Arabidopsis thaliana: one gene and its partner. The protein of the gene in region 2 purifies or fractionates together with the protein of the main gene of each other region. This does not show direct contact. Each region holds a gene or a part of one and is shown on either strand. Other genes may lie near its edges. The genes, in order: AT1G09150 and AT1G43860.

The links.
Region 1: the proteins of AT1G43860 (region 2) and AT1G09150 fractionate together in Arabidopsis thaliana (co-fractionation; one large-scale study listed by BioGRID). This does not show direct contact.

The regions. Positions count from the first base shown.
Region 1 is NC_003070.9:2,942,303-2,954,991, reverse strand, and holds AT1G09150 (pseudouridine synthase and archaeosine transglycosylase (PUA) domain-containing protein), read right to left. Parts: upstream 8,963-12,689; 5' UTR 8,600-8,962; intron 8,447-8,599; 5' UTR 8,394-8,446; coding exon 8,383-8,393; intron 7,783-8,382; coding exon 7,701-7,782; intron 7,605-7,700; coding exon 7,537-7,604; intron 7,436-7,536; coding exon 7,338-7,435; intron 6,819-7,337; coding exon 6,682-6,818; intron 6,600-6,681; coding exon 6,532-6,599; intron 6,283-6,531; coding exon 6,219-6,282; intron 6,102-6,218; coding exon 6,084-6,101; 3' UTR 5,833-6,083; downstream 1-5,832. Other genes in the region: AT1G09160 (Protein phosphatase 2C family protein), read left to right, coding at 1-142, 221-392, 485-702, 830-937, 1,021-1,146, 1,230-1,462, 1,574-1,793; AT1G09157 (transmembrane protein, putative (DUF679)), read left to right, coding at 2,596-3,327; PP2-B15 (phloem protein 2-B15), read left to right, coding at 4,150-4,398, 4,467-4,585, 4,660-5,161; SR30 (SERINE-ARGININE PROTEIN 30), read left to right, coding at 9,174-9,260, 9,384-9,449, 9,536-9,610, 9,690-9,792, 9,878-9,924, 10,032-10,089, 10,213-10,262, 10,406-10,462 and 4 more.
Region 2 is NC_003070.9:16,616,932-16,629,818, forward strand, and holds AT1G43860 (sequence-specific DNA binding transcription factor), read right to left. Parts: upstream 7,564-12,887; 5' UTR 7,455-7,563; coding exon 7,321-7,454; exon of another isoform or gene 6,596-7,320; coding exon of another isoform or gene 6,567-6,595; coding exon 6,437-6,566; intron 6,342-6,436; coding exon 6,141-6,341; intron 6,043-6,140; coding exon 5,875-6,042; intron 5,793-5,874; coding exon 5,313-5,792; 3' UTR 4,666-5,312; downstream 1-4,665. Other genes in the region: SEU (SEUSS transcriptional co-regulator), read left to right, coding at 941-1,906, 1,991-2,110, 2,263-2,311, 2,401-2,615, 2,703-2,771, 3,015-3,112, 3,208-3,301, 3,498-3,567 and 1 more.

The DNA of each region.
Region 1 (12,689 bases), about 14 Mb from region 2:
GCTGAGGAGCGAGAAAGTAGAGAAGCCTTTTGTCAAGTATGGTCAAGCAGCTCTCGCTAAGAAAGGAGAGGACTACTTTTTGATCAAAACTGACTGTGAAAGGGTACCTGGTGATCCATCATCGGCTTTTTCAGTTTTCGGGGTAATTGAGGCATTCTTCCCTTTAAGGATTCTCTGTTTTAGTGACGAATAGCTTACCCTTTTTCTGTTTTGTCTTCAGATATTTGACGGACACAATGGTAATTCAGCTGCCATATATACTAAGGAACATCTTCTGGAAAACGTGGTGAGTGCAATTCCTCAAGGCGCAAGCAGGGATGAGTGGCTTCAAGCTCTTCCTAGGGCTTTAGTTGCTGGCTTTGTGAAAACTGACATTGAATTTCAGCAGAAAGGTCTTAGCTTATGCTTATTTTTTAAAGGCTTTTTGCTTTCTATTCTTGTTTTTCAAGCATGCTCTAACCGATAAGATCTGTTGTGCTTACAGGGGAAACTTCAGGAACAACCGTGACTTTTGTTATAATTGATGGTTGGACTATTACTGTTGCTTCTGTTGGTGACTCGCGCTGCATATTGGACACCCAAGGTGGTGTGGTTTCTCTACTGACTGTTGATCACAGGCTAGAAGAGAATGTTGAAGAAAGAGAACGCATAACTGCTAGTGGAGGTGAGGTCGGAAGACTCAATGTATTTGGTGGCAATGAGGTATGATCATTTCCAGTGAATTTAAGTTACTGTTTCATTGTGTTTTGGCTGTGGTGGGTTTGTAATGTGTAAGAAGTCCTTGGATTTTCAATGATATTAATGTGCTTTGATTATGCCAATGCAATAGGTCGGCCCACTACGATGCTGGCCTGGTGGTTTATGTCTTTCGAGGTCCATTGGTGATACGGATGTGGGAGAATTTATTGTCCCTATACCACACGTTAAGCAAGTGAAAGTAAGCTCCCTTTCCCTTGGTACATTTTTCATTAATTCTTATATTTGACATTGATCAAAAAGTATTTTTATCTGTACGTTCAGCTTCCTGATGCTGGAGGGAGACTCATCATAGCTTCAGATGGTATATGGGATATACTGTCTTCTGATGTGGCTGCCAAAGCTTGTCGTGGTTTATCTGCCGATCTTGCTGCTAAACTTGTTGTTAAGGTTGGTGATCAACCCCGTTGATTTCATTGTGTTCTTCCTCTGGTCTAGATTCCTCTTTTTTCTGAATCATATGTTTTTACCAGGAAGCATTGCGAACAAAAGGGTTGAAAGATGATACGACTTGTGTAGTCGTTGACATAGTTCCATCTGGTCATCTTTCCTTGGCTCCAGCACCCATGAAGAAACAGAACCCATTTACCTCATTTCTTTCAAGGAAAAACCATATGGATACCAACAACAAAAATGGCAACAAGCTTTCTGCTGTTGGAGTTGTAGAAGAATTGTTTGAAGAAGGTTCTGCTGTGCTTGCAGATAGGTAATCTTCTAGCCATGAGTTAATATTGTCAAACTCTTATCCAACCCGTTAAGTAACTGAAACTTCAGATCCTGACTATCAGTCTTTGTTTGCTCGTGTTTTGAAATGTAGATTGGGAAAGGATCTTCTCTCAAATACGGAAACTGGGCTCTTAAAATGTGCTGTATGCCAAATAGATGAATCTCCGAGTGAAGATTTATCAAGCAATGGGGGTTCCATCATTTCCTCAGCATCTAAACGATGGGAAGGTCCCTTCCTATGCACAATATGCAAGAAAAAGAAAGACGCCATGGAAGGAAAAAGACCAAGCAAAGGTTCAGTGACTACTTGAAGCCACTTGCGTGCGTGAAAAAAATCATAAAATCCGGTAAGAAATTTGTATGTTTCTCATTTTCTTATCTAACTTCTTCTCTTGTGCTCTGTAAGAGTAGCTTGGTTTTGTGTTCTTTTCCCAGGTATTGATTGGAAAGTAGTAGTAATAGTAGAAGTTTATGCAAATGTTTGTAGAGAGAGAGAGAGAGAGTGTGTGACAATAGATCCAATTCTTATCCATTGTTTAAGATTTCCCTGGATTGCGTTCTTGGCATTATGCTGACCATTTACCTTCGTAGATGTGTTTTTGTTTGGGAAATTGCTGATATACTAACAAGAGTTTCCAAGTTGTAAGTAGAATTCATATTTTGTTATTGTCACTCAATCCTATTGCACTCATTCATTGAAGTTTGTTTCGGTTTATATATATATGCCTTTGGTTATGCGAAATGAGATTGGTTTTGGGATTACTACTGTTCGGTTTGGTTTATGCTTTATGATGCGATCTTGAATCTAGAATCAATGTGTTTGTGATTGTATGGTTACGTGGTTCGATATGTCCGGTTTACTTTGGTTCTCACTTCACCGGTTACCCAAAAATAAAATAAAATTGTTGTATGGTTTCTATTTATTTCGTTTTACAGACTGAATAAGTGAATATTTGCATGGAAACCGAGATATGAGTCTGAAGCAGTAGCAGTTCTGGAAACAACAAAAATTTGATAAACCGTCGTACTAAAGATAGTTCGAACAAAAATCCAAAACACATTTCTCATTTCACAAAACAAACGAAAACTATTGAGTCACAAAACACAGAGAGAATGGAGAAAACAGAGGAAAGCGTCGGAATCAGAGTTTACACGACGACAACGACGCAAAATCCGTCACCAACATCGTCTCGGTCGCCCAAACCTGTCCCTCTCTCTTCACTGCCTATGCTTCCGGCAGGAGCCGCCGCGGGAGGAGGAAAAGGTAGAAAACGTCGCATGGTGGCGAAAGGAGTTCAAAAAACGGTTTCGAAGACATCAATGCTCGTCAATTTCCTTCCGACAGGAACTCTCTTGATGTTCGAAATGGTTCTTCCGACAATCTACCGTGACGGAGACTGTAACGGAATCAACACACTCATGATTCATCTTCTCTTGCTTCTTTGCGCAATGTCTTGTTTCTTCTTCCATTTCACCGACAGTTTCAAAGCCTCCGATGGGAAAATTTACTACGGTTTTGTGACTCCACGTGGACTCGCGGTGTTCATGAAACCACCCTCGCCGGGGTTTGGAGGCGGAGATGTGATTGCAGAGAAGGAGATTCCGGTGACGGATGAGAGGTATAAGTTGAGGGTTAATGACTTTGTGCATTCAGTGATGAGTGTTTTGGTTTTTATGGCGATCGCGTTTTCGGATCGGAGAGTCACAGGGTGTTTGTTTCCAGGAAAAGAGAAGGAGATGGATCAAGTTATGGAGAGTTTTCCGTTAATGGTCGGAATTGTTTGCAGTGCTTTGTTTCTTGTTTTTCCGACCAGTCGATACGGTGTCGGATGCATGTCTACATAATAACTAATTTCACTTTTCTGTTGTTTTGTGATTTTTTAAGTATCTTTTTTTTGTAGTATTTGCCTTGTAATTTAGAGTATATGAATTTAATCCACTGACTACTATCCATCGTTTTATTAGTGTTTTACAAAATAGTTTCGAGTAATACACATGTTTTCCTTGATTCCATTATATTATGTCCTACAATATAGTAGGTCGGTGAGCTTGGCTTGTTTGTCGAGATGAAGTCGAGTTTATGTCAGTGAAGTTATCATGATCTTATCTTCAAAGATGAAAGATGTTGATATCGCAAAGAATTCTCAAGAAATAACAAAACACATAAAAATCTAATCAGCCGAGTTACAATAAATCCCTAATAAGGGTTTGAGTCACTTCACTGGACAAAAACCTACTTTGGTACATGGCACGTGGAAACACACGTGCCTAAAATAAACTCTTGCCAAAGTTCGTAAAAAAGAAAGATATTTTCACTGGAAAAAATAAAGTTGAATATTTTCCATAATCATCTTAACCAAAAACCTCAAAAATATTCACAAACTATGTTTTCAGGGAACAAACTCTTGTGTCTTTATTTTGACACAAGAGAACAAACCTTTTTTCTTGACCAAAAACCATCGAACCTTTTGTCTTCCACTAAGGCAATGATATTAATTTCAGGATTGTGCACTTCGGTCCAAAATAGTAACTACTAGGACGCTTATATTTACGACTCATCATCGGTCATGTATTTCTTCTACAAAAAAAAACACTAAATAAAACAGAGCCATAGTTTCATTAATAATCTTCTCTCGCTTTCTCTCTTTACTTTAATTCTGAAGAAGGATGATGTTACCAGAAGCATGCGTGGCGACTATCCTCTCATTTACAACTCCGGCTGACACAATCTCGTCGGCGGCTGTCTCATCAGTTTTCCGAGTCGCCGGAGACTCTGACTTTGTGTGGGAGAAGTTTTTACCGACCGATTACTGCCACGTCATCTCTAGATCGACTGATCCTCACCGAATTTTCTCTTCTAAAAAGGAGCTTTATCGATGTCTCTGTGAATCAATTCTCATCGATAATGGCAGAAAGGTCTGTGATCTTTATCTCTGTCTCTGCATGTGAACCAATTCTTGGTTTAATGTTAAAATTCATTTCAGATTTTCAAGATCGAGAAGCTTTCAGGGAAAATATCGTATATTTTGTCGTCAAGAGATCTTTCCATAACTTGGAGCGATCAAAGACATTACTGGTCTTGGAGCCCACGATCAGATTCAAGGTCGTTATTAATTTAATCATATCATTGGTGTAACAGTGTAAGCAATAATTTTTGTTTCAATATTTTGATTATAGGTTTTCCGAAGGAGTCCAACTTATAATGACAGATTGGTTAGAAATCATCGGAAAAATCCAAACCGGAGCTTTATCGCCGAACACAAACTACGGAGCTTATCTGATTATGAAAGTAACGTCACGTGCCTATGGACTAGACCTAGTTCCGGCAGAGACATCGATAAAAGTGGGAAATGGTGAAAAGAAAATAAAGTCAACTTATCTAAGTTGCTTGGATAACAAGAAACAACAAATGGAACGTGTGTTTTACGGACAAAGAGAACAGAGGATGGCGACGCATGAGGTTGTCCGAAGTCATCGGAGGGAGCCAGAGGTGAGAGACGATGGGTGGATGGAGATAGAGCTGGGAGAGTTCGAGACAGGATCAGGAGAAGGTGATGACGACAAGGAGGTTGTTATGAGTCTGACTGAAGTTAAAGGTTATCAATTGAAGGGTGGAATTGCCATTGATGGGATTGAAGTAAGGCCTAAACCCCTAAAAGTGAGGGCCGGGACCAACTAAAAGATGAGTGCCAAATTTTGTGTTTACCGGATAATGTGTTTGGTTTGGGTAAAAAAATGTAAGATGAGAAAACTGTTTTGGTGGGTTGGTAATAACTCTAATCGAGTTATACATTATTAATTTATAATACATTAGAGTAGATAGTAGTTTCTTTTGTTTGACATTTATTTGATAACATTCTGAAAATTGATTAATATCCGTTAGGTATCATTTTGTTCAAACATCTCTGTCAATTCAATTGTATTAAAAATGAAAGCGTTTAAGTAATATTATCCATAATAGAAGTACCTAAAATCACCATAAGCTATACAAATACGAATAATTCTGTTTTAACGACATTTTGCAAAAATAGTATACAAAGGGAGATATCCACGCTTTACCAAAGTAAAAGTTAATATTGAATAGGACAACAGCGAAATAGACGTGTCTTAATGTCGTCATTTCATTTGGCACATGAGGACATTCTTAGCTCATATCGAATTTCTAGTGTTACCTAATCTCATGTTAGGTGGCTTATACAAATTTTTGGTTGATACAACGTCGTCATATCGTGCAAGCACGTGTATGTAGTACTATTATAGCTTTAATACCTAATTAGTAGATAAACAGTGGGCACATTCTGCCTAATCGTTTATACTTTATAGGCTTATAGCAATTTGTTAAGTTCAATTAGGATGACTTTAAATATATTCTGACCGAAATAAATTTGAACAGCTTTTTAATCTTACTTGTTTGATTATACGGAATTAGAAACTGTAACCTTAGCTAAGGTTGACGTTCCCTCATAAAATAAGTATCAAATGTTTGAAAACAAATCAAACCAAAGCTAAGGTTGATCCGGACAAAAGCTCCATAAGTTTAGAGAGAACATAAAAGGAGACCAATATATCTCTCCGACACTGATTCACATTTGACATTGTCCTCAGTCTAGTCGTTCCATCTGCAATACAAATTTCAGAAACTTTTGATTTGTGTTCTTCCAAAATCGATTTTTATATCAACAATGAGACTGCTTGGCAATACTACGAATAGAGAAACCAGAGACAAGTATTGGTACCTTCCAGAGACCGTCGTTGAGGTAATGCATGTTGTCAACTCCTATTCCTTTGTTAATGCTCTTTCTGTGAACATACACAAGAAAAGTTTAGCGATGCGAAAGAAATTTTATGAGCAAACAGGGGAAACACGGCCAAAATTGATCCTGGTGCAGGTATGTGTATCTAAGGGAAGAAGGAATATCAATAAAGTGACAAAGATAGGGTTACTTGGAGAGGCCTGGAGCCAAGAGACTGTATTTTGGCTAAGATACGAAAGTATATCAAAGCACATGTTTGTATTTTCAAATAAATTCCAGCGAAAAATTGACTTACATGTCCTTTGCTGACATTTTGGTGAAGCCTATTGCTAAGGCATGTTGCTTTCCTTCTGCATATATGGCCTAAACAAATACAGATTCATGGTTTAAGATCAGCATATACAAACAAAAATGCAACCCAGGGAAATACTGTTTTTATTCATACCACTGGCCTTTCAGCCTCGACTTCTTGATCCAGAACGCCTCCCGGGGATGTAAGACCAGGACACATTATGTTTGCACCAGACAGAACAAACTTTATGGCACCTCTATCAACTTGAAACCTCTTCATTATATTTGGGTCTGCAAAACTCCAAACATTCAGCTGCCAAATTTTTGACATTCGTGGCTAATTGAAAAAACTCCAAGTTTCTTTCTATGTATCATTCAAGTATGTAAAAGTTAGCTGAACGTGGTGTTTTCAAGAATATTTTATACTCTTCTGGTAACAGCCAATGCCAAAACCTTCTCACTATGATAAGGGTCAGCTAACCCGGAAAACATAAAACAAAATATACTAAACAAAAATCCTGGCTAACCAATCATACGTGGACCTTTTATATAGTTCACTCGCATGAAAAAAGCCAAAGGAACAACAACTTACAGGAACCAAACCCCAGGAAGTTCTAAATAACTCAGAGAAAAGTGTCGGACATACTATTCAGGTATATGCAGTATTTGAACCAGGTAAGTTCTACTGCAGACCACAGTAAGACTAACAGGTGTGAAGAAGAGTGATTGTATGAATAAAACACCCAGATATGTTATGTTTTGATAACAAGACCATATAGCATGGATGGTGTGAAGGAAAAGTGATATTACATTGATGAAGAAGCCGCAGTGTTGGCATGTATGGCCCGTCACGGATACAGAAGAAGAGGGGGACATTGTTGACAACAACTAGGGTCAGATGGTTTGGGCTGCACGAGAAATATAGTCAGGAATACTGTAAGACATAGATAGTGGGTAAAAGAAAATTCAGAAAACAAAACAATGAATATGAGTTTGTTAATTTACAGACCACTTCACTACGATAAGAGGAATCTTTTTGGGAAGTAGATCCTCCATCACTGATTCAAGTCCCGGGTACTGCAACATTAACATAAACATATTTATATCTGACAAACTTCACGAAATCATAAAAGTTTAAGAAGGGGAAAAAGACAAATGAAACAACAGACATACCTCATCTTGGATACTCTGGCGGATCCTACGTTGAACAGATGCCTTCACTTGGTTTTGTGATGAAATCTCCTCCAAACAAAACCTAAATAAAAAGTAGTGAACATAAATAACACCTTCATAGACATAATGGTATATCAAATAGATCTAAAGTTGATAGCAGTAGGGAAAAATAAACTTTATACAAGATTCACTATGAATGTATAAGCATGTTTCAGGAGATGGATAAACACAAACTCCATGATAGTAGAGAGTTTAGACTGGTCAAATCAAGACACAAACTTTCCTCTATGACCCACGACTCTTTGTACAGATTTGATAAATCAAATAGTGACACTATCAATATAGAAACCAAAACTTTACAATAGCAAGATGTTAGCTTTTGAGAACTCAAAACCTTCTACTTTGAAGAAAATATAACAACCAATATGCCCATACCAAGGCTACTCTAAGCAATCAAATTAACAATGTGGTCGACAACAAGTAGAAGGGAGTGAGTTCTCGATAGTTATTAGAGTAAGTGGATACTAAATAAAGAGACCATCACATTCTTTATCAACTAGTATAAACAATGCCGAGATGTTGAAACCACTAATTCTTAGATTCTACAATCCGGGTATGAAAAACAGTTTCTATCTAAATAAAAAAGTAGAGAAAGAATCTAGAAAGAGACAAAGATGCTTACTTCTTAAACATGTTCGAGGTTTATTGAAAATGATCACCAGCTTCTAACTATGGTATCTTCTTCCCTGCAAGCGAACAGTGGAAGATGATTGATAACGGAAATATCGGAACATCACTCAACAAACCAAAAATTTGGACATCATATCGCAACAAATTCAATAGGAAAAATACTGAAATTCCAAAACAGAAAAACCAAACGGAACAGAGCAGGAACTCACGGACTGAGAGAGACCGTGGACGGTGTCACGGCGGAAAATGGTCTTGGACGGAGTTACTAATCGGCGAATTGAGATTTGAGAGGTGGTAGTAGAGGAACCGAGAGAATGTTTCTCTCAAAAAAATCCCCAAGTGTTTCCGATCTAGTGTCTCTTTTGTCCAAAAACGACAGTGTTTAGGAAACCTAGGAGAATGAATGACCCGATGGTCCGAATCCGATTCGAAATTGGTTCGAATTGTAATAACTAACATACAATATTCCGGTTTGAATGATAAGAAAAAACACATTCGATCCGGTTAGAACAATATATTAACAGGCCCATTAAAACATATGGGCCGATCTTGATCAACTGGGCTATTCATCGTTGATACATGCGGCCGCACAGGATTAAAATCCAGTTCCGTTTTATAAAAGGATACTAGTTTCCAAACGAACGGTGGTTGTCTCCTTTCCAGAACAATCTAACGCTTTCTCGAACATCTTCTTCTTCTTCTTTCTCGAAATTATTTTTCCAGTAATCAATTTCTTCTCTTCTAGATTTTTACAGGAACTAATTTTCTGCTCTGAGGTATCAGATGAGTAGCCGATGGAATCGTACGATCTACGTTGGGAATTTGCCTGGAGATATTCGCAAGTGTGAGGTTGAAGATCTCTTCTACAAGGTTTGAAAATTCCTCTTTTCTCTCGATAAAAATTGAATTCATTATGACTTGTTTGGGTTCATAAATTTGCAATTCTGTCTTGCTGAGACAATTTAAATCGACTCTTATGTATATTTGTTTCAGTATGGACCAATTGTGGACATTGATTTGAAGATTCCACCGAGACCTCCTGGTTATGCCTTTGTCGAGGTATATTGATCAAGTACAAATTTGTTTTTTTCTTCTTCTTGTAATAGTATAGGCTAATGACTAAGATAGTTTGTTATTGGTGGCAGTTTGAAGATCCTCGTGATGCAGACGATGCAATTTATGGACGTGATGGTTATGATTTTGATGGGTGTCGACTTCGGGTTAGTAAACGCATGATGAAAGCTAGCTTAATTTTCTGTAATTTCTTGTAAAGGTGTTATCTTTGTGTGATGTTTTTAGGTTGAGATTGCACATGGTGGTCGTAGATTTTCACCATCAGTTGATAGGTACAGCAGCAGCTACAGTGCGAGCCGTGCACCTTCAAGACGCTCTGACTACCGCGGTTTGTAGAGTCTTCTCGATTGTGTTATTTGGTGTTGTGTAAAATTTTATATTTGAAAACTCATTTTTACTACCTAAACATGTAGTGCTTGTGACCGGATTACCGCCTTCTGCTTCGTGGCAGGACCTTAAGGTAAGGGACACTATATAGTCTTTTTCTCTGAATGTTGGTTCTCTATATCATGTTTTGGATTTATCTCTTTTCTGAAATGATGTTATTTGCTATTTACGGGTGATTAGGATCACATGCGCAAAGCTGGAGATGTCTGCTTCTCTGAAGTTTTCCCTGACCGTAAAGGTGAGTTGACATTCGATAGTTTGGATAAGCTTTTGATTGATGTGTTAGTAAATTAGTCTTTGTGAAGGAGAATAGGTGTTAAGCATCTGAACTGCTAAACTCACATTCAGTATTTCTTTGTAGGCATGTCTGGGGTTGTGGATTATAGCAACTATGATGATATGAAGTACGCAGTAAGTTTTATATCTTTGCAACGCAAATGTTCCTGGACTTATGCCTTAGACTGCTTTTGTTTCATAGTATACCGAGCTGAATTTATCTTCCTGGAGGCCAGTGTTGGATCTTTGATGTTCCCTTAAAATTTTTGATGTGACAGATAAGGAAACTTGATGCCACTGAATTTCGAAATGCTTTCTCTAGTGCTTATATACGGGTATGTTGTATTGCTTTCTTTGATTTTGTTAAGCATAAGTGGATATGGAGTCATCTCTGAATTTACTGTTCAGGTGAGGGAATATGAGTCGAGGAGTGTGAGTCGAAGCCCAGATGATTCTAAAAGCTATAGAAGCAGGAGTCGGAGCCGTGGTCCAAGCTGTAGCTATAGTAGCAAGAGCAGGAGGTCTTTTTTTTTTTTTTTTTTTCATAAACCTAAGACATATAAGGGATTTTTATTGTAACTTATTTATGAAATTAACTGACTTCTAAATGCAATGCAGTGTGTCACCTGCTAGATCCATTTCCCCGCGTTCACGGCCCCTTAGTCGTTCTCGCTCGCTATACAGCTCTGTCTCAAGGTATGAGTGTTAGATTTGTATCATTATTATATATGTAGTTACCCCTTCATGGATCACTTGTTCTTGCATAGTGAACTCCTTACTAGCTTTATTACTTACAACTAAGCACCTTTTGTTGCTTCCGTACACAGTTGAATTTGTTTGAGTCTTTTTTCCCTCATAGTGGACTAGTCTATTGTCACTTGATTTTCTTCCTTTGTTGATGTTTTCTATGTCATGCAAACTCCAATATGGGTAAAGGTTACCTCCTTGTTTGGGATTACCAGAGTTCCTTTTCATTTCTTACACGTGAATGTGTTTGTTTTTTATGTTTTGAGTTCTTGACAGAGATGCTCCCATCATATTTAGTCCTTTTCCTTTCTCTTTGTGTCGTTCTCTTCTGGATGTTTCCTTCTGATAAAGCTTTACTTCTTAACTTTTTTCCAGCGACGGTGAATTTATTACGTATCAATCTTCATTATCCGACTTATAATTTAAAGAACACTTAGCTAGATGTTTCACTTTTTGAAAATTTATTTCTATCGGAAGGGGGAAGATGGATTTCTGAGGCATGTCCTCGATCATTTACCGTGATTACAATTGTATTGCGTTGTTTGTTTTCTAGATCTGGCTCACTGCTACGAGCTGGGGATTGGATCTAGATGGGTCATCTAGATGGATTCTTGGACTGGATTTACAAAGCTGGATTAGCATGAACTTGAACTTCTGTTTTTACGGTCTGGTCTGGTCTGGTACTCCGCGCGTATCAGCTGTAGGATCTGATCGCAAAGTTTTGGACTATGATTACTCTGATTCCTCAATATATTTATCTTTTTGACAATAGTGGATTCTGTGTTGAGTTCTTTTCTAGGACAGCATTTAAGCTCCCGGGACTAGATGGGAGATGGTCAGTAAATTTCTTTGTTATGCCACACTTACATGGGGTTTTTGGTCTTGCTGCAGGTCCCAATCAAGATCAAAATCAAGATCAAGATCAAGATCGAATTCTCCAGTTTCACCTGTAAGTCTAAAAGCTGAACCTTCTTTAATTCACAATCCATGGTGTTTGTTTAAATACCTGCTCACTTTGGTTGTTCTTCAATCAACACCAACTTAACGAAATCATGAGACAGACTATAAAATTTGAAGAGTCTTAGAACGACTAGGTCTCACCAACCTCTGTGTGCACTAAAAATCGCCTCTCCAAGTGTTTCAGCAACATAATCTACCTCTGTCATGTGTTATCATTTCTTCTTCTCTTAACGGTATTACATATTATGTTTTGCAGGTGATATCTGGTTGAAAATGAAAACTGGCCACTGGCTGTACCCGAATCGTCTCAAGCTTCTCAGGCTCCACTGCTAATAGAATTTGATTCCGATTTGGGATTATTATACTGGTCTTCTTGTATGGGACGACCAATATGTCTTTCTAGTTTTAGTTGTGAACCTGGAATTGGTCTGTTATTGTGTCATTAAAAAGCCGGAAACTCTGTCTCGGCTGCATAATAAAGTTCATCAGACATTGTGTTGGGTGTGGTGAGGTTTTTCCATACATATACATTTACATTACAACTACTGGTGTCTTTTATGATTATCTTAAACTAAACTTGCAGTGTTAAAACTAAACTTGCTTTTGTTTTTGGATAAGATCACTCTAAAACGGTACAACCCCTGCCTGTATCCTACCAACAGTAACAACACACTACAGCTCATAGGCCATAGCACCAGAGTTTTGTGTAAACGAAATGGCCCAGAATAATTGCAATTTGGTCCGAAAGTAAAGTCTATTGCGACTGGGCCTGTTCCCTAAAATGTGATTTGGGCTATAGCCGGAATATCAAATAGCGGGTCAACCCGAAACCCGACCCAGTAATTATTCTCTCCC
Region 2 (12,887 bases):
TAAAACCAATAAAATAAAGAGAAAAATGTTTGTGGCTAACAAAAAAAAAAAATCCAGATTGTGATTACAAAAAAAAAACATTTCTAGGGCATGTCATTGACTTCCTTTGAAGAAGAAGAAGAAGAGAGAGAGAGACTGAAAAAGAAAAAGTAAGAAAGGGAATGAAATAAATCCGATCGAATACAATTTTGACGTCCGCAAGGACACTATTCTCTCTCTTCTCATCTTCTTCTTTCTCTCTTCTCTCTCTCTCTCTACAGCGAAGAACAGGACACAAATTACTCTGTGAAGCTTAAAAAGGTATAATTTTTAATAAAACCCAGAAACTACAATTTCTAGGCGGCAGAGAAAATTTGTTTCTACTTCTTTTTGTTTCTCTTTGTCTTCTCGTCTCTTTATCCCCAAACCCATCAATAAAAAACCCTAAAAGACTTCAAATTTCTTCAAGATTTTGTTCATCGGAAGTTTTCAGATTTTTAGTTGTGTAAAGTCTCTTCCTTTTTGTTCGATTCTCTTTGTTTTGAGTCTTATCAGAGACTTATTCTTCAATTCCACCTCTGGGTAAGTTTCTATAGATTCTCACTAGTAATCTCTGTTTTTTTTCTCAATTAGGGTTTGATCAAAGTTTCGTTTTTTTCTTTCTGGGTTTGTTCTTAACATTATGCTTTTGTTTTGTTAAGGTGGTGAGAGTTGGAAATGGAGTAGATTTGCTTAATTTAGATCTGTAAGTAATCAACAGACAGTGTTGTTTGGTTCTAGAATGTTCGATACGGAATCTCATCACTCAGATTCATCTCTTTCCGTGGTGTTTACGACTCTGAAGCTTATCATTGCTCAGAAAGAATACGTCTTTGCTCCTACACAGAGCTGAGTTTTATAAAGTCGTCAGTTTTGTTTCTTGCTTTCTTTGTTGATTGTGGAGTTGTGAATTAGTAAGAGTATGGTACCATCAGAGCCGCCTAATCCTGTTGGGGGTGGTGAAAATGTTCCGCCTTCGATATTAGGAGGACAAGGAGGAGCTCCTCTTCCTTCTCAACCAGCATTTCCTTCACTTGTCTCTCCGCGTACTCAGTTTGGTAACAATATGAGTATGAGTATGCTTGGGAATGCTCCAAATATATCTTCTCTTCTCAATAATCAGTCTTTTGTAAATGGTATCCCTGGTTCTATGATTTCTATGGATACAAGTGGTGCTGAGTCTGACCCGATGTCTAACGTCGGGTTTAGTGGTTTGTCGTCTTTTAATGCGTCGAGTATGGTGTCTCCGCGCTCATCAGGTCAAGTTCAGGGTCAGCAGTTTTCGAATGTTTCGGCTAACCAGTTGTTGGCTGAGCAACAACGGAATAAGAAAATGGAGACGCAGAGTTTTCAACATGGTCAGCAGCAGTCAATGCAGCAGCAGTTTTCGACAGTGCGTGGTGGTGGATTAGCAGGTGTGGGACCTGTTAAGATGGAGCCTGGTCAGGTTTCGAATGATCAGCAGCATGGTCAAGTACAACAGCAGCAACAGAAAATGTTGAGAAACCTAGGGTCAGTTAAGTTGGAACCGCAGCAAATTCAGGCCATGAGAAATTTGGCCCAAGTGAAAATGGAACCTCAACATTCTGAGCAGTCATTGTTTCTCCAACAACAGCAGAGGCAACAACAGCAACAACAACAACAACAATTTCTTCAAATGCCGGGGCAATCTCCGCAGGCTCAAATGAACATATTTCAGCAGCAGAGACTTATGCAACTTCAACAACAGCAACTCTTGAAATCTATGCCTCAACAGCGTCCTCAATTACCACAGCAGTTCCAACAGCAGAATTTACCTCTAAGGCCACCTCTGAAACCAGTGTATGAACCTGGCATGGGTGCTCAGCGTCTTACACAGTATATGTACAGACAACAACATAGGCCTGAAGTAAAGCTTCTTACCATAAATTTAACTTCTTTCAGCCTATGGCTTTTCTTCATAATTGACATTTGTGCTTGCTATTAAATGCAGGACAATAATATCGAGTTCTGGAGAAAATTTGTAGCTGAGTACTTTGCTCCTAATGCCAAAAAGAGATGGTGCGTCTCTATGTATGGCAGTGGCAGGCAAACAACAGGCGTTTTCCCTCAGGTTGGTTTACTGCTCAATGAACTTATCTTGTTTGTAATACAATTGTAAAGGAGCTTGTCTTTTGCACCTGAGCCAGTTATTCTGGATAAATTACGTACTTGTTTCATGTTATACCTCTTTACATGAGTATTTTTATTCCACAAACATTGCAGGATGTGTGGCACTGTGAGATATGTAACCGAAAGCCTGGACGTGGTTTTGGTATGTTATTTAGATGATCAGTGCAGACAATTTCCTGTACATCTTATCAAATATTCCTTCCTTACTGCTTTGTCTCTTTCATTGTTTAGAGGCAACCGCCGAAGTCCTTCCGCGGCTGTTTAAGATTAAGTATGAGAGTGGGACGTTAGAAGAACTGTTATATGTAGATATGCCAAGGGAGTCCCAGAATTCATCTGGCCAAATTGTCCTGGAGTATGCAAAAGCAACACAAGAGAGTGTCTTTGAGCATCTTCGGGTTGTTCGTGATGGCCAACTTCGAATAGTCTTCTCGCCAGATCTTAAGGTTCTTCAAGCTACTCTATCTTTCGCAGCAAATTATTATACTATTACTTTCTCTCCAAGCCCTTTATTCTTGTAAGTTCCTTCTCAGATATTCTCCTGGGAATTTTGTGCTCGGCGGCATGAAGAGCTTATTCCACGAAGACTTTTGATACCGCAGGTAACTTCCAGAAAGATTCACCATATTGCTCTGACATATAGTTATTTTGGAGATGCGGCCTTTCCTTTTGTCACAAAATTGGATATGCTGTCTTAATATTATTCTAGTCTGCTTTTCTTTGCGAAATCGTCACTTTACCTTTCATCTTTTGTGGTTTCCAAATTTCAATAGGAGTAGAATATTACACATCTAAATCAGTGAAAACAGCTTAGGTAAATTAGCTATTTTTGTATTCACATACAGGTTAGTCAGCTTGGATCGGCAGCTCAGAAATATCAACAAGCTGCTCAAAATGCAACAACAGATTCTGCTCTTCCGGAGCTACAAAATAATTGCAATATGTAAACTTCCTCTCTTTCGCTGTGAAATTGATGTAACAAATCCTGTTATTCGACTTTTGATTGGTGATCTCTGATGTGCTGCAACTGGTCTGCAGGTTTGTTGCATCTGCTAGACAATTGGCAAAGGCCCTGGAAGTACCACTTGTGAATGATTTGGGATACACAAAGAGATATGTTCGGTGTTTGCAGGTAAATAACTAATGTCTCAATATGGATCAAGTGAACTCTACAATCTTGCTTAAAACTTAAGATTCTTGCCATCAATGAAAATGCAGCTTTGAAAAGGATAATACATAAAAATGAAATAAACTTAATCAATCTTTGTATTTAGTCTGTCCCTGTGACCATGTTTGCCAATGCACATTGATATTTTGCAATATTGTAGATCTCAGAGGTGGTAAATAGTATGAAGGACCTGATAGATTATAGCAGAGAAACACGAACAGGACCAATCGGTAAGTTTATGTGACCACCTTTTAATGCATTTGGTATTTTTAATCTTGAAGCACCTACTCTTTTCGTTCATGTATTATATCAGAACTTCATTGTACATATTCTCCGGTGATTTGACTGATGTCATGTTTTCTTTCTTTGGTACAGAGAGTTTAGCCAAGTTTCCTCGGAGAACAGGCCCTTCATCTGCACTGCCTGGTCCTTCTCCTCAGCAAGCCAGCGACCAGCTTAGGCAGCAGCAGCAACAACAACAGCAGCAGCAGCAACAGCAACAACAACAACAACAACAACAGCAGCAGCAGCAAACAGTTTCCCAGAATACAAACAGTGATCAAAGTAGTAGGCAAGTTGCACTAATGCAGGGTAATCCAAGCAATGGTGTAAATTATGCCTTTAATGCAGCCTCTGCATCCACTTCCACCAGCAGCATCGCAGGGCTCATCCACCAGAATTCAATGAAGGGAAGACATCAGAATGCTGCTTACAATCCTCCAAACAGCCCCTATGGAGGAAACTCTGTTCAGATGCAATCACCTAGTTCCTCGGGTACCATGGTGCCATCATCATCGCAGCAACAACACAACCTGCCAACATTTCAGTCTCCAACATCCTCATCTAATAACAATAATCCCTCTCAAAACGGGATACCATCTGTTAATCACATGGGTTCCACAAACTCACCAGCAATGCAACAGGCAGGTGAGGTTGATGGAAACGAGTCTAGCTCGGTGCAGAAGATACTGAATGAAATCCTGATGAACAACCAAGCTCATAATAATAGCTCAGGAGGAAGCATGGTTGGGCATGGGTCTTTCGGGAATGATGGGAAGGGTCAAGCTAATGTAAATAGTTCTGGTGTTTTACTGATGAATGGCCAAGTGAACAACAACAACAACACAAATATTGGAGGTGCTGGTGGGTTTGGTGGTGGGATTGGTCAATCCATGGCAGCAAACGGAATCAATAATATAAACGGTAACAATAGTCTCATGAACGGAAGAGTTGGGATGATGGTGCGGGATCCAAACGGTCAACAGGATTTAGGAAACCAACTTTTAGGAGCAGTGAATGGTTTCAACAATTTTGATTGGAACGCGTGAAATGAAGAAGAGGAAGAAGAGACACTGAAAGGGTAATGTTCTGCTTGCGCAGCATCACACATCTTCAAACTCAGGATAAGGATAGGCCAATAAGCCGTGATATTGTGCTTAAGAAAGGAAGAGTCAAATCTTTGTATCAATAACTGGTTTCTAGGTCACCTCCACAATCACCAATACCATCTCTTGAGTTACTGTTTCTTTTTTTACTTTGGGGAGTTTTTCTTATGCTTTATAGTTTATAATGTACATCTTTCTATCGGTGTGTGTTCCTTAGGGCACATCATCAGGGAGGCAATGAATCAAGCTCTATCCTTCATTTATCTCTCTGGTCTCTTCCATGTGTTAACCAAACTTCCCTAAATTCTGACCACAACGTTAAATATGTGCAATGCTCTTGAACGATGCTGATCGGTCATGATTTTTTGTTGTTAGTGCAATGAAATACCACAAGCCGTACGATGTCTATTGTTTGGTCACAGTTATTAATCAAATACCAAATATCCAAGCTTGTCTCTTAAACACAAGTTTTTACTCTTAAAGTTTGCGCAAAATTTCATTCCACAAGTTTTGTGTATTCATACTCACATATGACTACGAGATTTAACACATTGACAAAATTAAAAGCACAAAAGGAGAAAATTGTAGTTTCAGAAAGAGTAGTCTTTCAAATCTGCTCTAGAGTCGTCCATGTCAATCTCAGACATGCATTCGTCAGCACTAATAGGAGGGAGTTTCCGAGTCTTACGCTTAAGGTTGTGTTTGTGCCAATCACTCTTACAGTGCTCTCTGTATTGCTTAGCCTCTCCAACGAACGTGTTGCAAGTGCTGCACTTGGTCCCCTTCTTTTCTTCTCCACCTTCTTGCTTTATGTTATCTGTAGTACTTATCTCTTGCTTCTGCAGTTTCTTGCTAAGTTCAACGACGGGATCGGTCAAATCCTTAGTCTCAGTCTCAGCAGGTAACAACGGCTTGTGGGTTTGCAATGCCATATCATCATGCTCATCGTAATGATCCATGCTTGTGTCACCTTCTGCATGAACTGATACAGCGAGTATTTCTAGTCTTCCCTGGATACTCCTCACATGGGAATCACACTCTCGGAATAGGCCCGGTTCCATCTCGCAGACCTACACAAGAAATGTATCACCATGATCAGAGAGGATTATAGAAAAGAAGAAGTTCAAAATGTTTGAAGATATAGATCATTACAGTGGACATCTGTGTTCCAGATTCGTCTTTGGAGACAACACTACCATCCCATTCTTTTAGCTTCTCCAGAAGCGAGGGGAAATTTTGAACAGGAACAGTAAGACGCAGTCTCATTGGAGAACGCTTTATAGGGAAGTGCTTTTGCAGCTCACGGATGACATCAAGTGCCTGCATAGTTTTGATAATCAAAATGAAGACTCACATAAGCTTTTGATAGAAAGCCCACAAGTCACTTTGCTTCTACATTATAACTTTAAACAACTCACCTGCTTCTTGGAATTACTATGAGGATCAACAGCAAAATGAATTTCATGCATTAGGCGCTCTACCATGCTGATGGTATAAGGTCGTTGTGTTTCAGGGTTGATAGTTTTCTGCATAACAATCGTTGCTATATCCCGAAACTGGCTTGAGAACTGTGATTCTCTTTCTTTTCCAGCAACTTGAAGCTCTCCTTTCTCCAAAATCTGAACATGAGAGTTGGAAATGCAACATATTAGATATATTATAAGGAGTCAGAACTTCAGAAATCTAAGAAAATCAAACAAGCGTTTTAACATACATCGATGCATATTTTCGTATGATCATCTGATCCAAACGACTTCATCAAGTCTTTCGATTTTGCAAGAACTCCTTTCGAAACATTTGAATAAACAGTATGCGACTGTAGCACTTCATCTATATCCTTCTCCCTGCATAAACATTTTGACTCAAATCTCATTACTTTTCTAAGAGGTCAAACACATTGTCCATCTTTCACACCAAATTCAGCATGCTCTACCATTTGCGTACATTATTTACAGAGATAAACGACTAAATTAGACTTACCACCTCCACATTAGAATCGACTCGCCAAATTCAAAAACATCAACTCAAGACAAGTAGTCAAGAACAACGCAAACAAAAATTGATGATGCCATTAACTCATATCCCTCATCACACCAAACTTATCATACCATACATTATTTTAAGAAATAAACAACTAATTAAGTATAAGACCTCCACATCATAACCGAATTCGTCAAATTCGGAAAACAAAATCAACACAGGGTCAGTCAAAGAACAACACAAACAAAGATTGATAATGCGATGATACTCGTTTCTCTTCAGATTAGGTCATTTTAACACCAAATTCATCACACTATACCAATTCCTTACATTATTTACAGAGATAAACAGCTAAAATTAGGCTTAAGACCTCAATATCAAAATCAAATTCGCCAAAATCAACACAAGACAAGTCAAGAACAACGCAAACAAAGATTGATGATGCGATTTATCAAATTAGGTCAAACACATGATCCATTTAAACACAATATTCATCTAACTACACTTTTAACAGTGATAAACAACCAAAAACCCGTAACCAAATTCGACAAAATCAAGCAGCGACGAAGATCGATTGAAGCGATTATAGTGGAGATAAGCAAAGATTTCGAAGCTTACACGCCAGACCGCCATGAAAGGACCTTATTCTTGTAACAAGCGATCTCGAAGCGATTGCCTTGCTTTTTGAGACGAACCACTGCAACATTAGTCAACCTCTTTTGCCCTACCGGTTGCACCAGCGTCTTCGACATACTTCTCTCTCGCGAATTTTGGTTTCCCTCTCGCCGCCACTAAATTTTGGGATATTTATTTGTTGAAACTGCAAAATGTGATAGGTCTTCACTTGTTTATTAAGTTCGTGGCTAAATGTGAAGAAAATAAAAAGTTATTGGCTAAAACTTAAAGGGTTGCCTGAATTTTCAGCCCTATACTAGTTAAAATTTCAACATTCCATCCTAAACTTTTAGTCACTTGAAAAATCACCATAAACAATTTTAATCTCGATAAAACTACATGTACTTTCGGATTTGTTCTTAAAACTACGCCTCCAATTGAACCGACCAGTTAACCGATAATTATACATCCGGTTTGACTTACCCATAATTTAACCAAAACTAATCCGATTTTGACTTTATTTTAACCCAATTTATATCCAAAAAATATATTCTTTAGAAGAAAAATACATTTTATTTATTTTCATTTATTTTTATAAAAAATTAAAAATAAATTAATTAATTTTACCAAAATAATAAAATAACAAAATATACCACACAAAATTATATAATAAAATTTTAGTATATATTTTGGTAATAAACAAAATATACCGCAAAATAATATAACAAAATAGACAACAAATTCTTTTTATAAATACAATGGTGTTATATATAAATGTATTTGGTATATACTCTAAATTTAATAATTCAAAGGTCATTTTCTTTTTAAAAACACCATAATCATATATAAATATATATATATATATATATACATATATAACTCATCTTGAATATATAAAAAGAAAACTGAATCTATAAAGAAAAATAAATTTATAAATACCATAATATATACTTTGATTGTGGTGTTTACGGATATCTATAAAAATAAATTTGGCATATATTTTGAATTTCATTACATATATAGAGTTCAAAGGTCATATATTATAATTTCAAGAAAAATGAATATTTTTGTTTAAAAAAAGACATAGCTTTAAATTTATAAAAAAATATAAATGATTGCCAAAAGGAAAATGTATATGTTTGTATATTATCAAAATTTTATAACAAAATGTAGCTAAAAATATAATTTGGGGTATATTTTGTCATATTAAGTTTTGCTAAAATTAAGTAATAATTTAATATTTTTAATTGTTTATCACAAATACAAATTAATAAAAATACTTTTACTTCTTAATAAGACAATTTATTTACATTTTGTGTGGGTCAAAATTAGGCTAATATAGAGTCAAAATCGGATTAGTTTCGGTTAAATTATGGGTAAGTCAAACCGGATGTATAATTATCGGTTAACTGGTCGGTTCAATTGGAGGCGTAGTTTTAAGAACAAATCCGAAAGTACATGTAGTTTTATCGAGATTAAAATTATTTCTGAAGGTTTTTCAAGTGGCTAAAAGTTTAGGGTGAATGTTGAGATTTCAACTAGTATAGGGCTGAAAATTCAGGCAACCCAAACTTAAAATATTGAAAGGTTTTTAGCGGTTAGGAGAACCGGCCTAGACATCGAAACTCGGTGACTCTGATTCGACTTGTCTAACCGGTCAGACCGGGTTTTCTAATTTTAATAGCTTCTGATAAACAACCCATTGGCTTAAGGATTTTTAATTTAGGGGCATCTTTGAGCAGACGCATTAGTAGATTCTCCCATTCTGGTTGATATGTACTTAGATGATGTGGGTTCTAAAATCCACACTAGAGATTTGTATTTAAGATTATGAGAAAGGAGGGCTAGATCTTAACTGAAACCTTGAGAGTTATATTGCTAAGAACGAATGGACTTTTGTATTAATTATGACAAAGCTTTTACAATGTGAAAAGAGATTACAAGTGTAAAAGTGTGTGTGTGCGAATGTGAACTGGATTGAATGTCTCTTCCAAGTCGTCCTTGCTCCCTTATATAGATCTACGCACGTGGTAGCTTCGTCCGGGATCTGCGGAGATCCTCCTAGATATTCATCAGGTCAGTTCCAAAATATCAGGTCCGCTCCGCGAATATCTCCTCATCAGTTCCTAGGTCATTATTCGCTTATCTCCCTTCATCAGATGACTGGGCTTATCTGGCCCAAGTACCCATTCGCGTATGTGGGCTCGTCAGCTGCATAGGTCCTCTACTTGGTGGGCTTGGTGGGCTTTTGTGGGCTGGCTTGGTATTTTCGCAGGTGGATTCCTGGAGGGGAATCCAGCTCCAACATTTGCCCCCCAGCCCATTGAGTGAGTAAGCGAACTCGATGAGCGGACATATAGGTCAGGTAAGATTGCGAAAATATTCTTGATGAGAAGATAAATGTGATTAGATCACTCAGTTTTGAGGATAAACTCAACAATTTCGATTTAATTTCAGATTCCCTTAACCGAAAGATTTCGAGGAGGATACGCGAGATAAGTCGCTGCTGATGTGGACGGCTGAGATGGAGCGTCTCTTCAGCGCACCGCATCTGACGGTCCAGATCAGGCGCGGAGAAGAGATCTCTGCAATCTCGAAAATCGTGGTGATGATGGCTTTAAATAACTTCCCACCTATCCATTTGACGTCACGTCAACTCACACAACTCTCAAGGTAACTTCTCTCATTCTTTATTATTTATTGCTCTTTGTTTTGTAGAAGTAGAAAAATCTCGTCTTTATTTTTTTTGCTATCTCCTTCGTTTCTCTGCTATTCCCTCTTTCTCGATCTGCCTTCTTTGCTCTTTTCTTTCATCTCTCTCGTCCTTCTCTGTCGAAAACCAAAGATGAGCGACTTTGAAGATTCCCAGAATAAAAGCAACCATAGCTACGGCGACGATTTAAGTTCGTCCGAGACGAGGTCGGTGGCGTCACCGCCGCGAGTACAAAGACGCGTCATAACCCTGGGCGGAATGGATCCAATTCGTATGTCGTCAACCAGAGCCGACAAGCCGAAGAAGAAAAAGGCTGCCAAGCAAGGGGGAGGCACGCCGATGATAAACAGCGACCTGGTCGACCTCCGGAGGAGATGCCAGGTTCCGGTGGAGGTACATATGATACTCCTAAGGCCGCCGCTGCATCCTGAGAACGTGCCGGTCGGGTGGTGCTGCGCTTATGCCAATTTCTTCGAGAAATGTGGCCTATTTTTCCCGATTCCGGCGTGTATTCTCGAGATGCTCTACTGTCTCGGCCTCGCCTTTCCCCAGATGTGTCCGAACTTCGTCTGCAATGTGCTGGCGTTATTCACCCAGGCTAGGAAAGTAAACAGAGAATTCAGCTGCCATGACCTGCTTCAGCTCTACCAGGTCAAGACCAATGCTAGGAGCGACCAAGGGACGTACTACATTAGTGCTCGTCCCAGATCTCTGGTTCTCGGCGGTTTGAAGGCTTGTCGAGACACCAATTGGCGATCCAAGTACTTCTTTTTCAGAGTAGATCGTCATTCAATCGGCAATTTCGATCCTGCGAGGATAACAAGGACCTGGTCTACCAACCTGGGTCAGATGGAGACCTGAGCCTCTTGATTTTTCTTTGTTGTTTGTGTCGAATCCTTGACTGCTTTTTGCTGAACGTTAGTACTGAAACTAATTGTTTGTTTTTGATGGTTTGCAGCAAGGACCAAGAAAGTTACTCTCTCGGAGACGGAACTCGACCTGTTAACCCTTCTCCGACGTGGTCAGACTGACTGGTCCACTTTAAGAAGAGATCGCATCGTAGCTGCTCTTGCCATAGCTCCAGCAGTTCCCGTAGCTCCAGCAGTTCTTGCAATCGTCCCTCCAGCAGCATAGCTAGATCCGATCAAAGAGGTCCCGCGGATTGAACCGGTTCTCGAGGCTGATCTGCCTGTAGGTACGAGTTTCGTTATATTTTCTTTGGTTTAAAAAATGTACGAGTTATCGAGATAGCTGAGCAACTCGAATTGCTAACTAACAAATGTCGTGCTCTATTTGTTCAGTTCCTCCTGACTCCAGCTCTACTTCAGAACTCCCGCTCATTAGAAGAATGAGGCGTCCAAGTCTTCGTGTTCAACGAGCCAATGCCGGAGCTCTTGCTCGTGCTGGTGATCTGTCGGCCGCGGTGACCGCGGCTCAAAACATTCTAGCTGTTTCCAGCGCATCTGCCTCAACATCTCATCCCTCGCTTCCTGAGGTCAACACCGGGACCTCTGCTGCAGCAGGTCAGTCAGTTAACATTCTGGTTGCTCAAGTATTTGGGCCATCTGCAGTTGTTCGTTCTGATGGCGCACCGTCCTCTCCGAAGAGAGCTCGGACCCAGCCGGAGGTGAATCCGGCGGCTGAGTTGCTCGTGAGCGACCAGGGGGTCGCCTCTCCTAGAGAGGAGATAGTGGGGGCAGGTCTTCAAACCGGTCTCAGGAAGTGAGGCAGACGTCCAACTCCGGCTGAGGATCCACGGGAAGCGGACTTTCCACTAGTCCTACACTCACGACCGTGATCACCCGATCGTTGAGGACGAGGCTGGGTTGGCGAACCTGCTTCGCCACGTCAAAGGGAGGAATTGTCAGGTTCCTGGAGTGAACAACATGGCCGAGGCGGCGGCCTATGCTGACATGATGGCGAAGGAGGGCCATGTAATAATCGATAACTGTCTCCTTCTAATTCCATCTTTATGCTAGTTGTGATTTTCTGTTTTGCTTTCGGTAGGCGATAGCTGCCACAAACAAGCTGGTCGCTCTCTATGAGCAGCGTCTAAGCCAGGTCCCCTCAGCGAATGAGCTCGAAGAAGGAAAGACCCTCATCCGGGAGCTGACGTCGAGTGTGAAGGCTGGTCAGGATCGCGAAGTCTCGTTCCAGGTACACCTCGGTTTTGATTTGTTTGTATATAATTTGTCGATGATTCGATGATTCTGATCTGATTGTTATTTCAGGTGGAGATCGAAAGGCTGAAAATGGAGCTATCCACTTCAAAAGACCTCGAGAAAGGTTATGATGAGAAGATCGGGTTCATGGAGATGGAGATCGGGGGGTTGCAAGCCGACAAGCAGACGGCGAGGAACCAGATTCATCGCTTGGAGCAGAGGAGGGAAGAGCTCTCCAAAAAGGTGATGGACCTGACTTCGACTGCACAAGGGGCGAAGAAAGCGGTTCACGATGTTAAGGTTGAGCTGGCTGCTGCGTATTCGAAGCTGCTAGCTGGGGTCAAGGAGAAGTGGGTTGCCAAAAAGGAGTACACGGTACTGGAGGTGCAAGCGGCTGAGGTGGAGACGAACCTGGCTTTGATCGACCAGATCACCAAGGTTGCTATCGATCTGACCGTGGAGAAACCTCGGCTGCAAGCAGAGCTGGATGACCTAGAGGCGCGGTGCAAATCGAAGGAGGTATCAGACTTTACTCTAAGCAAGTTGGATCTCCCGCAGGTTTCAGACCAATAAAGACGCGTTTCCGGGAGGTCTTGCGGAGGGTTCTGGTACTGTCTTCGCTACGCCAGCCGGAGAATCGAGGGAGTGATCACTTTCGCTCCTTGTTTGTTTTAGGATTTTGTGTTTTGTTTCAG